Arabidopsis thaliana: one gene and its partner. The main gene of each other region encodes a partner of the protein of the gene in region 2 in a complex. Each region holds a gene or a part of one and is shown on either strand. Other genes may lie near its edges.

Evidence for each region. The genes of interacting proteins can lie anywhere in the genome.
Region 1: DET1 (region 2) and FUS9 share a complex: the UniProt entries of both Arabidopsis thaliana proteins name them as parts of the CDD complex.

The regions. Positions count from the first base shown.
Region 1 is NC_003074.8:4,420,963-4,427,644, forward strand, and holds FUS9 (Ubiquitin-conjugating enzyme family protein), read right to left. Parts: upstream 3,933-6,682; 5' UTR 3,836-3,932; coding exon 3,607-3,835; intron 3,507-3,606; coding exon 3,433-3,506; intron 3,076-3,432; coding exon 2,928-3,075; coding exon of another isoform or gene 2,866-2,927; exon of another isoform or gene 2,705-2,865; coding exon 2,607-2,704; 3' UTR 2,275-2,606; downstream 1-2,274. Other genes in the region: MYB5 (myb domain protein 5), read left to right, coding at 28-481; AT3G13560 (O-Glycosyl hydrolases family 17 protein), read right to left, coding at 4,522-4,693, 4,779-4,806, 4,911-6,161, 6,256-6,322. UniProt on the Arabidopsis thaliana protein: Component of light signal transduction machinery. Involved in repression of photomorphogenesis in darkness by participating in the CDD complex, a complex probably required to regulate the activity of ubiquitin conjugating enzymes (E2s).
Region 2 is NC_003075.7:6,343,747-6,351,622, reverse strand, and holds DET1 (light-mediated development protein 1 / deetiolated1 (DET1)), read right to left. Parts: upstream 5,213-7,876; 5' UTR 5,081-5,212; coding exon 5,009-5,080; intron 4,928-5,008; coding exon 4,265-4,927; intron 4,191-4,264; coding exon 3,999-4,190; intron 3,701-3,998; coding exon 3,632-3,700; intron 3,537-3,631; coding exon 3,480-3,536; intron 3,374-3,479; coding exon 3,293-3,373; intron 3,211-3,292; coding exon 3,049-3,210; intron 2,977-3,048; coding exon 2,881-2,976; intron 2,809-2,880; coding exon 2,709-2,808; intron 2,617-2,708; coding exon 2,477-2,616; 3' UTR 2,309-2,476; downstream 1-2,308. Other genes in the region: AT4G10190 (F-box and associated interaction domains-containing protein), read right to left, coding at 1-695; AT4G10170 (SNARE-like superfamily protein), read right to left, coding at 6,272-7,036. UniProt on the Arabidopsis thaliana protein: Component of light signal transduction machinery. Involved in repression of photomorphogenesis in darkness by participating in the CDD complex, a complex probably required to regulate the activity of ubiquitin conjugating enzymes (E2s).

The DNA.
Region 1 (6,682 bases), on a different chromosome or scaffold from region 2:
TCATGGAAATTCTAATGTGTGATGCAGGTGGTCATTGATCGCGGGAAGGATACCGGGAAGGACTGATAATGAAATTAAGAACTATTGGAACACTCATCTTCGTAAGAAACTTTTAAGGCAAGGAATTGATCCTCAAACCCACAAGCCTCTTGATGCAAACAACATCCATAAACCAGAAGAAGAAGTTTCCGGTGGACAAAAGTACCCTCTAGAGCCTATTTCTAGTTCTCATACTGATGATACCACTGTTAATGGCGGGGATGGAGATAGCAAGAACAGTATCAATGTCTTTGGTGGTGAACACGGCTACGAAGACTTTGGTTTCTGCTACGACGACAAGTTCTCATCGTTTCTTAATTCGCTCATCAACGATGTTGGTGATCCTTTTGGTAATATTATCCCAATATCTCAACCTTTGCAGATGGATGATTGTAAGGATGGGATTGTTGGAGCGTCGTCTTCTAGCTTAGGACATGACTAGATACAGGAAGATATATAGTTGATCGAATCTTGATGTCTTCTATATCTACCATGCTTCAAGAAGGGGTCACAGATGCGATCTAGAAGGTTGGCATATATGTGTACTAAGTTGTTTTGTGGTGATTTGTGTGATTATTATAAAACCATAAATTGTGAGTGTAACTGAGTACACAAACCTCTATTTATATATATGGATATATCTATTGCGAATAAATGAATCATCACTATCGTTAAATAAGACTCGTGGTAAGCTTTTGTCAAATACAGATAACTAATAAGCATGTTCACAATCTTAAATTATGGTACTAGATATGTTTCTAAGTTTAATTTCTTCAAGAAGTTTATTTAATGTAAACAATACAGGCTAGCTAAGTGCTAACGTTAAACTTCATATCCTTGAAAACAAAAATACACTAAACTTTATAAGCTATTAAACATATTCCGGACAGTTTACATACTAAAGTACGATAATAACATATATGTTGTTTGAAAAAAAAAACATATATGTTGCCTATAGGTTTATTATGTGTTTGCGTCACCACACGAGTTGAGGTTATAAAACTCTATTTTCATGTAATACTAAATTAAAACTCAAAAATGTTTGTTTTAAGTATTTCAGACACAATTCATGAGTTGTATATATAAGTTGAAACTTATAGGTTCTTTTTATCGATGAGGATATACTATAAGTTCGAAAATCAAAGTTTGTTGCGTAGTTCACATTTACGTATCTTATAGTAAGACCAATGTTGGTCGAAGATATAGTTTTTTACCTATGCATGCAGATTTATTGTTTAACACAGTTTTATGTATATATATGCTTACTTCATCACAGTCTCTCGTCCGTGCGTTCTCCCTCTAGAATTCGTTACTTAAAACCAAAAAGAACACCATGCCGTTTTCACATTGACTCTTCACACGTTCCCACATTTACGCCATATAAACTACCCTTAGTTAAAGCCTAGGAAAATTGAATTATAGACCAACATTAGCGGTTAGAATAATTGACGTTTAATTTACATAAGTTTTTACTTTTTACTTAAAACGAACTTCGCATGCGACTATGCTGCTCCGACCTAACCTTCTCTTTGACCCTTCGGTTCACATCACAGCAGCAAAAATAATTAACTAACCGATAGTCTCTGGCTCAACCAAATTTAGACGAAAATGATTTATTGCCAAAAAATTCGTAAACCTAAGACTCTGATTAACAAAATTTTAGTGTTAGATACATAGTCATCATAAGATTGGATACTATATATAGTCGATATACTGGATATATCTTCCAACATCTCTAGAGGTTTTACTCAAAACTTCAAGAGAAATATATATGATGCCAACGAAGGGGAACATTAAATAAAAAAATAAGATAAACAAATTGAGTATATACATGTGATGCATAAAATGACATATTCATCTGCATATACACTAACACATCTAACACACGTATAATTAACGGATAAATATTACAACGTACCGATATGAAGATATTAGTCGCAGAGACTCAAAATATGTTACTCTTTTTTAACACTGCTGTTCTACATATTCTCTATATATACCATGCGTAGATAGATATGTACTGACCATTTGTGATAATTATGTTAAACAGAGTTAGGTTAAAAGAACGAAAAGAATTGACCGGTAGATTTGGTCTCTCAAGTCTCACTTGTGTCTTCAATAGAAAGTTTGATCTTTCTTTTTGGAGATAATCAATCAATAAAGATTATGGAACATGTTAGGTACCAACTAATACTCTTCAGTTTAATTATCTCATCTGTAATCGCTTTTCTCTAGAAGTTATGGCCTACTATTCTTGTTTCAAAACAAAATGCTCTTGTTTTCTTATAAAAGAAACAATTCCTCAGTTATATTCAGACCATATATGATCTTTGGTTTTCGAGTCCTTGACGAAAAGATTTGACACTAAATTGTATAACCTTCAATAAATTGGAGTTGTTGAGGATTGGTCCTACCTCACATTGTTGCCTATTATCTGAGCAAACAATTTTCTTGGCCATCTAACATTGTGGTTCCACTTTTATGAATGTACATTGATGACCATTAACTAACCAAAGAACTAGGTGTATTTATAATACATCAGTTGTCTTTTCCTCGTATTGAAGATCTCACTTGGCAAATCGCAATGTCCATTCTTTGGCTACCTCGTCATGCTTTTCTCTATCTGTCAAGTAGAGCCGTGCAATCACCGGTAAAGCTGGACTATCTGGTCGATGAAGAAGAAGCAAAAAGAATAAGAACAATAGAGATTTACTATGGAAGTTAAATACAGTAGTTAGATGCGGACATCTATTATGTTTGTTGGCCAAAACTCATCACAAACTTTTTTTTAAAAACGTTCTCTTAGGTAGATCTGACATGAGCTGGTCATTTCATCAGAGGACTTGAAATGGTCTGATCTGAAGCCTGAGAGTAGAATAGAAACTTACAGGGTTCAGGTTTTAAGAAGATAGATCTGATGGCTTGTAAGACTTTAGTGATTGTAAGGGCTGGACTCCAACTATCTCTTAGAATGTTCACACTTAAATCTCCCGCAGTATCAACATTGCAATGGTAAATCCGAGTCTTGAACACCAACTGCAAATCAACCTCACCAACTTAACCAAAAAGACAGATGTAATAAAAGTGCAAGCTCTAGATTAGTACCTATAGCTTGACTATCACTAGACCCAAAACTTCAAGAAATTTGCTACAAAATGTATCCTAAGACTATGTTGAAAGCAATAAAACTACATAATATGCTAGACACTGAGAGTCTGAGACACTAGATGATCTCTGTTTCAATGTGATGCAGTTGAAGACTCATTGATATTCACTAAATAGTTCTTCCTAAAGAGATCATCATTAGAAATCAAAACTTCTAAACCTTAAATCATTACCAGCTAAATCAGTAAAGCTCCCAAAATGTGTTAACCAAAGAATCCATGATCATACCTTAGGTGGCTTGAATGGATAATCAGATGGGAAAATTATATCCAGGAAAAAGATCCCTCCTTCATAGGGAGTTCCTGCAAAAGTTCCATAAACACCAAATTCAAAGACTTGAAAACCTAACAAATTTTCAATCGGATTATCTACAAATATTCAAAGAGAGTATCAGAATTAAACCCGAAGGACCAATGATGGTGGCGATCCAATGGTAGAGATTATCTCCTTTTGGACCAGCTGAGCAATCAGGAGGTGGATCAATGTTAAGCTCAGCCATCTCCCTCTGTATCCTCTTCCCTGACGCAGAAACTGAAGTCTTCGCTACCCAAGACGACGCCGTTCCTGAATATCCGGCGTACATCGCCGTCGGTAACGGTCTCAACCTCCCGCTTCCGCCAGGTGTCATCATCTCCCGTCGTCGTCGTCTTCCGATACTCTCTGCTTATCCAATCCACCACTTGATCGTTTCGCTCGCACTCCATCGGGAAAAGATTTCGAAACGCCGCGTTTTTGTCCGATCAATTAAACAAATAAAGTAATCGCTGACGTGGAGATTAATTTTGTAACATGTATTTTTTATTTTTATTTTCTCTCACTAATCACTATCAATAAATTTGTAATCATTTTGACAACCAAATTTATTTAAGTTGAATTATCGAATATTCTTGTCCTTTTGTGTAATGTGATCATGTTATAACCACGTGAATCCTTAATAATTTGATAAATGATTATTCAAAGTTCTTGAAAAAGGCACACATTTTGGAAAGAAAATTGAAATTATCCAAAATCAATTTAATTTTTGTTTAAACATAATCAAATTTACTCTGTCAATTTTTATGAATAACATGATTTACGTAAACTCTCCTACAATGCACTGATTCATTTGAATATGAAATTTAAATCACTCTAATTCGAATATTTTAGTTCAAAGATGAAGACAAAAAAAAGAATGGGAACTTGTGAGCCCTCTTTAGTCTCTAGTTACACTTACACTAAAAACAAAGTACACAGTAACTACCGGTAACCGTAAGAAATCCAATCCAAGCCACAGGTAGACTTCCCCGGTTACTACAAAACCGCTTTTTGGCAAACGTTCTACAAAAGGCGGTCATGCTGAAGCAACAGTTGTAGTAGAGTGAGAGCTAACGGTGCCAATATGGGAAGATGGTAGCTAAAGATGATACGTGCGTTTGCGTTTCCTCCCAATGGACTTGCGGGTCCTAACGCATCCGGAGGAAAGTTTCCATTAGTAGCGTTTGCGTTTAAGCTGAGATAAATGGAAAATGATTTCAAAGAGTTAGGAGCAGATTTCATTTTCAAAACTTAACAAGACATAAATTTAGTATCGTTACCTTCCCGTATATGCACATGTTCTATAGCCTGCAAACACACAAGCCATCGAATTTGAGATTTACTCTGAGGAAACAACTTGAAAACATAGAATTATTGCAACACATAGATCAGAGGAAATGAGAAAAACTTACTAGGATCTCTAGTCGTAGTGATAGCCGTACCATCAAAGTCACAAGTTCCACCTGCACTTTTCATCTTCTGGTAATAGTCATTGAAAGCAAAAGAAGCATGGCTCTTAACATCGTTAGGGAGGTAGCAAGGTTGGCCCGGTTGAATGGCAGCGCAGTTAGCTCGGCCTTGACCACACGCCCAATTCAAACCGTCAACCAACTTATCATCATCAGCATCTGCTTTAGCCACGCAGAACATCGATGAACCGTTTAGAGCTGCGGAGCTAGAGCCACCACTCAAACTCAGAGGGTAAACCGAGGTCCCATTTGGAAACAAAATCCCCCAGTTTCTTTCAGAGACTGGTCCTGACCGCTTGTCTTCATTGTACAGCTCGTAGATGTAAGTGTTTATCGGTATGTCTGGTTGACTAGGAGGACCTGAGTTGTTCAGCACTCTCTTGATCAAGTTAGTGTTGAATGTCTCCGCATTAGCGACTGTTGCAGCCGCTTCATCGCTTCCACCAGACGAAGGCCAGCCTGTTTCCGTGACTACAACAGGAATCTTGGAGAAATTCAAAGCTTCCATGGAGTAGTAAGCAGCATCAACCATAGCATCAAACATGCTGTTGTAATGTAAAAGCGTGTTGGGATCAACAATCTGCTTCACCGGAGAAAGCTGCTTGAACAAAGCGTAATCAAGCGGGAAAATCCCATTAGCGGTTGTGTAACCGTAGTAAGGATACGCGTTTAACATGAAAAAGGAACCAGTGTTCTTCAAAAACTGAAGAAGCTGGTAAACCGTGGTGTTCCACGACGGGCTAAAGGTAGATGTAGATGGAGGAAACGGTTTAGGCATTATATCCATAGACATAGGGCTGGAGACTTTGACCTTAAAGTTGAGATTGGAAGCCACAAGAGCCTTGTGAATGTTGTTAAGAGCAGAGGCGAGAATCGGCGCCACGTGAGGAATCGTGGTGAGAACCTCACTACCAACAGCAATGGCGGTTATATTAGTTGAAGGAATATAAGCAGCGACGTTTTTGTTAACCCAAGCAGCTGCAGCTGAAGGAAACCGTCCGATTTTGAGGATTTCTTCATTGGTTACACCGACCATAACTTCGATGCTAGTGTTGGCAAATGCTTTGAGCATATGGCTATTAGCATCATAGAGACGGACGTGTGTGATTTGTTGTGATTTGAGAAGTGTTACAATGTCTGAAGGCGGTGGCATGTTGGTGAGATCAGTGCCAATGTTTACACCGATAAATGCAGCTGTATAAAGAATCAGATTAACATTGAGAGTCTATGAACTTCACCAAGTAATAAAAAAGTAAACTTAGAGATAGATATAACATGTGAAATTTACCGTTTGAACAGGCAAGAATTGAAAGTAGGAGCAACAACGCTTCTGCAAACCATCTCGGAAGCAGCATTGGAAACAGAGTGCTTGAAAACCTTAAACCTACAAAAACTCTGAAAAGGTTCAAAATTGAGCCATATGCTAATGATTTTAACAGAAATTTGAAACCTAATATAACAATGGATTGTAGATTTCTCACTCTGAAGTCAGAAAAAACTGTTGTTTTTTTTTAATCTTTTCAGGAGAGTTATAATTGGTCAAATATGGTAAGAACCCTAAAAATAAGTAAGCAACTTTTTTTTTTGGTGAATTCAAGAAAGCAATTTTAGATAACTATCTCATGGCTATTAAGAAAACAGAGGATTTCCGACAGAAGTAAACTAATGGGGTCTGGAAACTAAGCAACGTTCTGAGAACAGAAGGGGAGAAACAG
Region 2 (7,876 bases):
GAAAAATCAAAACCAAGTAAAAAACTACTACTGGTCAAGTCTTTATTAGTAGAAGCAAGCCAGTAAGTGTTTCCATTCACAGACATGCCACGGTCCATACACCTTGGTATGAACCAGTCTGTAATCTTACCAACAACTCTCCACGAATTAGAGTTAAAGTCATAGATTTCGTAGTTCATAAATTCTGGCCTATCAGGATAAAATTGATCCATCCTCATGATTTTGTACTTGTTGCATGATGATTTACCGAGAGCAAATATATCGAATTTCTTGTAGAAATTTCTTGGTTGGATCCACTTAGTATCACGAGAACAGGGATTCGAAACAACGAGTCTATTGTCTACGGTGGTGCATAGCAAGAAGCCGTCGCAATGAAAGACGTTGCATATATCAACTTCTTCTAAAAAATTTGAAAGAGGATCTTTCAGGCGAAGTTGACTTATTATGTTTACCTTGTTGTTGTGAATTGTATGAAGATCGACGCTCACGAGATAAACCCTAAAGGTCATCAACATGATAAGCAGAGAGTGCCTTGGTGCATTAGTAAAGTGCTGCTCAGCAAATCTCTTATCTTCGATCAGAACGTTCCATCTTTTGGATGTAGATTGTAATCGGACCAAAGTTACGGTCGGAACCCTCGCGAGTATCTCCATTACCAAATCCTCGGGAAGATCTACTATGTTTCTCTTCGTCATAAGCTTTAAAGACAGACTAGGTTTTTATGATACCTTGAATCCAAAGAAACTAGAGTTCGGAGATGAAAGTTATGACTTATGAGATCTACAAATATATATATTTGTGAGTAAGTTACAACTGTCGGTCAAAATTACAATTTCTTTGTTTTGTTGTTAACATATATACTAAAGGTATGTTATTGGTTTATGATTTAAATAGAGTTTTAGTGACTTAAAATGTTATGTAGAATATGTTGTTATTCAATAAGATTTTTTGAAAAATTTGTTAAAGTTTTGTATTATTAGTTTAAGATTTGTGAAAAGTAATCTAAAATCTTCACAAATCTGGAGTTAATGGATTAATACTTTCATAAAGTCATTAATTTTTTTTGTTTTATTCAATTAAAACAAAAGAATCTACTATTGTAGATGAATTAAATTGTTTTGTAATTGGTTTATGACTTTCTACCATTTGTTTCACAAAATAAAGTCATGAAAATATCATTAAAATATAGAGATTGTTTGGAAACTTTATAAGATTGTAAAAAACCAATGTTCAAAAAATTGTTAGGCGTTCGATAGGGGCCTAACGCCTAGATCAATTAATCGGGGGCTAGGCAAAGCCTAGGCGTTAGCACATCATTTTACAAATTTATTAAACATTTTCATAATTTTATAACAAAACATTGGTTAAAATATATGAAATGTTGAAAATATTACCTATTTGAATTTATAATATATGTATATTCACACAAAATTTCTATGAAAACTAAATTAACTTATTCTGAAAATTTGAGAATAATTAATTGCTAACTTACAAGTTTAGTAATCAAGTACTTTTACTTTATTTTTCACTTATTCAAAACGATCATATTTACATATACTAAACTGGCCGATTTGACCGGTTAATACTGATTTTGAACGCTTAAACCGAAAACCCTATTTGATTCACCGATTTCACTAAAATCGGGCCGCCTAGGCCGATTTTTTGAACCTTGTGAAAAACTAATCAATAATATTATTGAAAACTCTCTACAAATAGTTTATAGTTTAGAATCTTTCATTTATTTACTTTATATGATATTATTAAAGTCTTCAAAATTTCTTTTTAGTTAGGAACCAATAACACCTCCTAGTTATTTCTTCCTTTTTAAGATTCAAACACTTTTTGCATGTATTATGTGTTTTGAGATACAGTAAAACCTCTATAAATTAATAAAGATGGAAGTATGATATTTTATTAATTATAGTGATTAATAATTTATCTATAATTAATATATTAATTTAAATTTAAATTATTAATTTATAGAGATATTTGTTTTAATTTTTCAAATTTTAGAAACTATGAGATGTTATAAATTTTATAGTAATATAATTGAAAATTTAATATTTAAAAAGCTCATTTGACAATAAATCACAAAAACTATAATTGAAAATGATGCATACTAAGAAATTAGAAACTTACAAAACATTATGGCTAATTTTTTTACAAAGTTATAAACGATTCTATAATTTGACAATTGAAAACCCCAACATAATTCAATCAGACTTAGAGACAAAACAATTGTTTGATAGAATAAAAGTTAGAGACAAACTCTAACAAGATTCAATACTTAAAAGACATTAAAACCATATTTTTATATAAAGCTTTCCAAAAGATTATTATATTATTATTTTATCGAAGTTTGTTAATTTTTACATCGGCCCAACTCGGAATTTATAGAGGTTTTACTGAACTTTTGTTACAAACAATAGATTACAACATGTAGGAAGACTACTAGACTGATAGAAACCAAAAAGAGTCATCGCCTAAAATGGATATTGACGACAGAAGGTGGCATGAAAAGTGTTTGTTGAATAGAGATGGCAAGTGGTAAATGAGGATGGAACAAGAATGAACATATCTTCTTGCTTCGACCATCTGCAGTTCCACACTCTGGTCCTGTTCACCATTAGACAATCCTAACGTTAAATCATGTTCCGTGCGGTTTGGGTTTTCGTCATCTTAATATCTAAACAACTAAAACAACCAACCTGGTTTTATCTTGAATTTCAGGGTTTGCGGTTGCCTTCGAGATATGAACTTGATTGGGTTGTCTGAGGATTGCCTATGCCTATCTGCTGCGGATATTAACTGTAACCATATCCGAAATTAACTTAACTCAATCCTGAAGTTGAAGAGAATAAGGGTTTATAGAATGGTTACCTTTTCATCGAACCGGAAGAGAGACTGGTCGAAATATGGGGAGGGACTTTGTGACTGACAACTGAAAGGCAAAGAGAGTAACATCTTCTTCACAAACTGTATAGAAAAATTGATTAGATTCAACTCTCTCATAAAAACCAACATATCGAAATACAGAGATGTACTTACCTGAGAAAAACTGTTTGATTTGTTCTTCGTGTATTTTAGTTGTTCAAGGGCATAGACGTTGTTAGAATGCGATGTTACAAAGTTCATGAACGGTGTACTACTTGATACTGTAAAGTGATCACTGAACTGCTCAAATAATTGGTAAAGATCTTCTGCTGAGTTCTGCATATAGTAATGTACTAAGTCAAGTTATAAGTAGATGCAAATTCCACAAAATAACTGGCCAAAATGACATCCATTTTACCTGATAGAATGCTACAATGTCAGTAGTCTCCATATTATACACCGCGAAGAAAGCTGGATGATGATCAGCACTTCTTGTTACCTGAGTAACCCATCAACAATCATAAGTCTAATCAATCAAATTGTAATTTCTGAAAATGACAGTATCAGTTCAATGTAACCATGAATTTGTATTATAGAGAGCTTACCCCACCGTCTACACTTCCAAATTTGATTAGCAGGTGTTGTCGATCCAAAAACTGAACCTGGACATCAAGAATACACAAAAGATTAGTTTTTTTCACCATCAAATCCAAACACTTGACACAGATTCCAAAAGCAGAAACACATAATTGATTACCTTCCATATAATCAAGTCGACATAATCCTGGAAATGGAAATAAAACTTCTTCTTAAGACTTTGAACTCTCTGTCAAATCAAATAGTGCCTTTCGATTAGTTCGTATCCAAGATGTAGTGTTTCAATACGACACACATTGCAAACTACAACGAAAGGTCGAAAATGCAAAGAGCATGTATATGATAAGCTGCATCAACTAAGAAGTCACTGTCAACTGCATCAATCCTAAACCTTAAACTTCTGTTATCCTACTCAACATCTAACAGAGGAAGCCAAGCAGTACACAAACATAACCCATTTAATGTACAAGATTGTGAAACTCAGAGCAATTTCATAAAGTGATAAGAGAAGTTGAAGAACAACGAACCATTACGTTATCTGATTCTTCATTCCAAATCTCCCTGAAGATAAAAGAAAGTAACCGTTGCTTAACACCACTAAGAAACGAATTCGAACCACTTGGCTGACTTAGACTATGACGCAACCCATTCTCTCCAGTATCATCTTCCTTACTCCCAGATAAACTCTGCTGTTTACTCTTATCTTGACTCATCATTGCCTAACAATCAAAAACCTCACAAAGCTCAAAACTTTATCTACTCCAGAGAAAGATACTGTAAAAACTTTGCTTACCTGAGAGCTAGAATTGAGGAAAAGCTCATCATCTTCACGACAAAAGTAACCAATAGCACGAGCATCAACAAGATGACCAGAATCTCTAATCTGAAGAAGATGAATCCTCTGATAACGCAACGACAAAATCGCTAAAAGATCATCATAAAGAAACACACCCATATTATGAGCCAGATTAACGAAATCATGAAGAAAAACCCTCTCATCAAGAACAACACCATCATCTAATCGAAGAAGTACGAAAGTAATCTTATCAATGGAAGGAACACCAGGAACAGCGTCATTAGAAGGAGATGATGAATCATGGATCTGAGCTGTTGAAGTAGCGAAAAGACCGAAACGACGAGTTTGGTGATAGAGGAAGAAGTCTTTGCAGATGAGTTCGTTAGAAGAAGCGAGATTGACTGAGTAGAGTTGAGTGAAAAAGCTGTCGAATTTCGAAGCACGGCGAGGTAGAGGAGGTAGGGTGGTTGTGGAATCATCGGTTGTGGAGTAAGTGAGCCAAGAAGGACGATAGACTATGAGTTCTTGATGGTTACGGCTGAAACTAATGAGGAAGAGTCCGTCTTCTGTGAATTTGCGGAAACAGTGATCGGGAGATTCGACATCGTAGAGTGTGTAGCTTGGGACTAGGTTTTCGTAGAAGTGTCTTGCACGATTTACCTATCATTGAAGGTAAAGAGATAAGCAAAAGAGAGATTGAGATTGAGAGATTGAGACAGAGAGAGAGATTTGGGGACTGACGGAAGCGCCGGGAGGAGGAGTTCGAATCTGACGTTCGAAGACCCGAGCGGTGACGTTACCGCTTGTGAACATTTGTTGGCCCAGAAGGGCACGAATAAAGGAAGGTTTTTGGTCTGGTTTTAGTGGTGAAAATGGAGGAGACGATGTGAGTGAGAGAGAGAGAGAGAGAGATACTGTGGCTTTGTTTTGGTTCTGTTGATTTTTCTCTTTTGGGAGGTTGGTTTCTCTCAATCTGTTAATGGGCCTGATATTGGTGTTTGAAAATGGCCCAATAGTTGCAAAATTGGGTCATTGGCACTTATCGGTACTACTTCCTCTTTGTACAATTTCTCTTGTTGTATTGCTTTGCTTAGTCGGAGCTTAAGTATGGACATTCACATTTTGGATCGGATTTTGGATCGGATTCGGTTCGGATTTTCGGATTCAGATGGGAAAGTTTATTATCCGGTCGGGTTTTATGACTATTCGGTTTGGTTTCGGTTCGGATAGTGTCGGATTCGGATCGGTTTTTGAGAAAAAAAAATATATATTGTTCCGTTTTAATAAAATTGGTTTAATTTTGCAAAAAAAATTGTATAATTGTAACAAATATAACTTAAAAATTCGGACGTATAAACCTGTAACTAATATTTTTGTTATTTAGAAATTTTTGGGTATAAACCTGTAACTAATATTTTTAGATAGATATAATTTTATTTCGGATTAGCGGATATTTATTCGGTTTTTGATTCGGAATCGGATTCGGCTGAAGTAATTTGGGTAGGTGAATTCATTATCCGTTCGGATTTTGTGACTGTTCAGTTCGGTTTCGGAACTTTTTTCGGATCGGTTCCTATCTACCTACCATTTTTTACTTCCCATTTTGTTGATCGGTAACAACAAGAACTGCAGTGGCAATACACTTGTTGGAACGAATCATACAATCAATACACTTGTTGGTAAAGCCTTATGCATCTCAAAGCCAGCTTCTTTGCTAGTGAGGGCCTTACTTAGGGAACTTGAAAGAGGATTGAGTTTGAAGTTGAAGCTCAAACAATTTAAATCATATAAAGATGGACGTTACTGTATCGTGAAGTCACAAAGAACACTGAACAGAATCTAGAATCCGACTGTACATATTTCAAAGCTGTGACTAAAGCAATACATAAGCCAAATTATAACTTAAGAATGCTTCACATTACAATCAACATATTTTTTGCCTATTGGAATGCACAAGGGAATGTAAAGAATCGACTCTGTTTATCCGATTTTCTGTCTGCACAATCACGAACGTGTACACTCGATACCCCGACATATAGCCAACCAAATACCAAACAGTGTCAAGCAAATAGCTGCATCAATAGCAAGAACAATCTGAACTAACCGCCGCCATTTCCATTCAAAGCTTTGAGTAACAGAACGTCCACTACTCGACACACACTCCTTCTCCAACGACGTTCCAGCTCCCGCTGAATCATCGGTTATGTTCCCTCTATCATTAGACTTCCTGTGTTCCTCAAGCTCAATCACATGATCTTTCCCTTTCTTCTTCTCTTGCTTACTTAACCTCCCCAACAACGGAGCTTTAGTAGAATTCGAACCTTCGCTTTGTTCACCAAGATTACTACTCTTCAATTCATTGTTACTACTACTCTCAGCAACACGTTCAAGAGAAGCTATAAGTCTAGTAACAACAGGAACAAGCTGATCTTCAACATTAATAGAACCAATCATAGCAGTAAAACTTCCTCTAGAATTCTCCCTAGCAGCTTTCTTAAATTCATCTCTCAAATGTTCAAGAAACTTAAGAACACTAGATCTCTTCAAAACCTCATCAACAATGGCGAAATAAACAAACCCATCTCCAATTAAAAACCCAAATCTTCTTTTACCAATAGTTTCAAAGTACCAAGTATGAAAAGGAGGAGACTTTTCTAAACACAGAGCAGCAAGACTCTCGTTGGTTTGGTCTCCACCGTTGTAAGAGTAAAGAATCTGATTGTCTCTTGAGACACAACAGTAATGAACTGTGTTCTTGATTAAACCCATCTTTTTTTTTGTTTTTTTAAGAAATCAAATTGAGACAGAAGAGGAAAGAAGAGAAGTCTGTGATTAGAGCAAAGAAGAAGAGAGAAATTGAGATGATGGAGTCAGAGAGAAAGTCAAAGAGAAGAAGAAAGTACCAACAAAATCCTTCGGCGATGTCTTCAAAATCGAGGATGAATTCTCTCATTCCTCTTCTTCTTCTCTCTAGGGTTCTTGGGTCATGTGTGAGCTTTTTGTTTGAGATGTTTATCTTTGTGATGAAAAAGTCAGAACTCGACGACCAAACTAGAGGACGTGGTCCACAACACTAAAAAAAATGTATTATTATTTTCTATATGTATGTAACAAATCGCAAATAAATTAGGGGAAATTGATAAAACTAGCATGATTTTTTTTGGTTAAAAGTATAAAATTAGCATGATTTCAAGTTAAAATTGGTAATGAATCAAATATTCATAAACATTTAGTAGAGATTTATACGCTCAAAATTAAGTAATTAAAGATTATAATACTATAATTAATTTAATGATAAAGACCGTAAAGACAATGACAAATTCTTGGCGAACTAAACAGAAATAGCGACGGACAACAAAAAAGATAACATTTTTGGACAAGATCTTATTCGATTAATAATAATTTAGGGGTTAACACACATGAGTAAGATCTCTTTCGCATTCGCTTGACGATTTTGATTGCGAGAGATGAAATTGAAAGAAGAAGAAATAAAAGTAGATGATAGAGATAAGATATCGTATAAAATCCCTTGAAGTTCTTTGACTTGAAGCTTCTGGTTAATTACTTTGACAAAGATTAGATAGTGAGAAGCGAAAGAGATGAACTTGA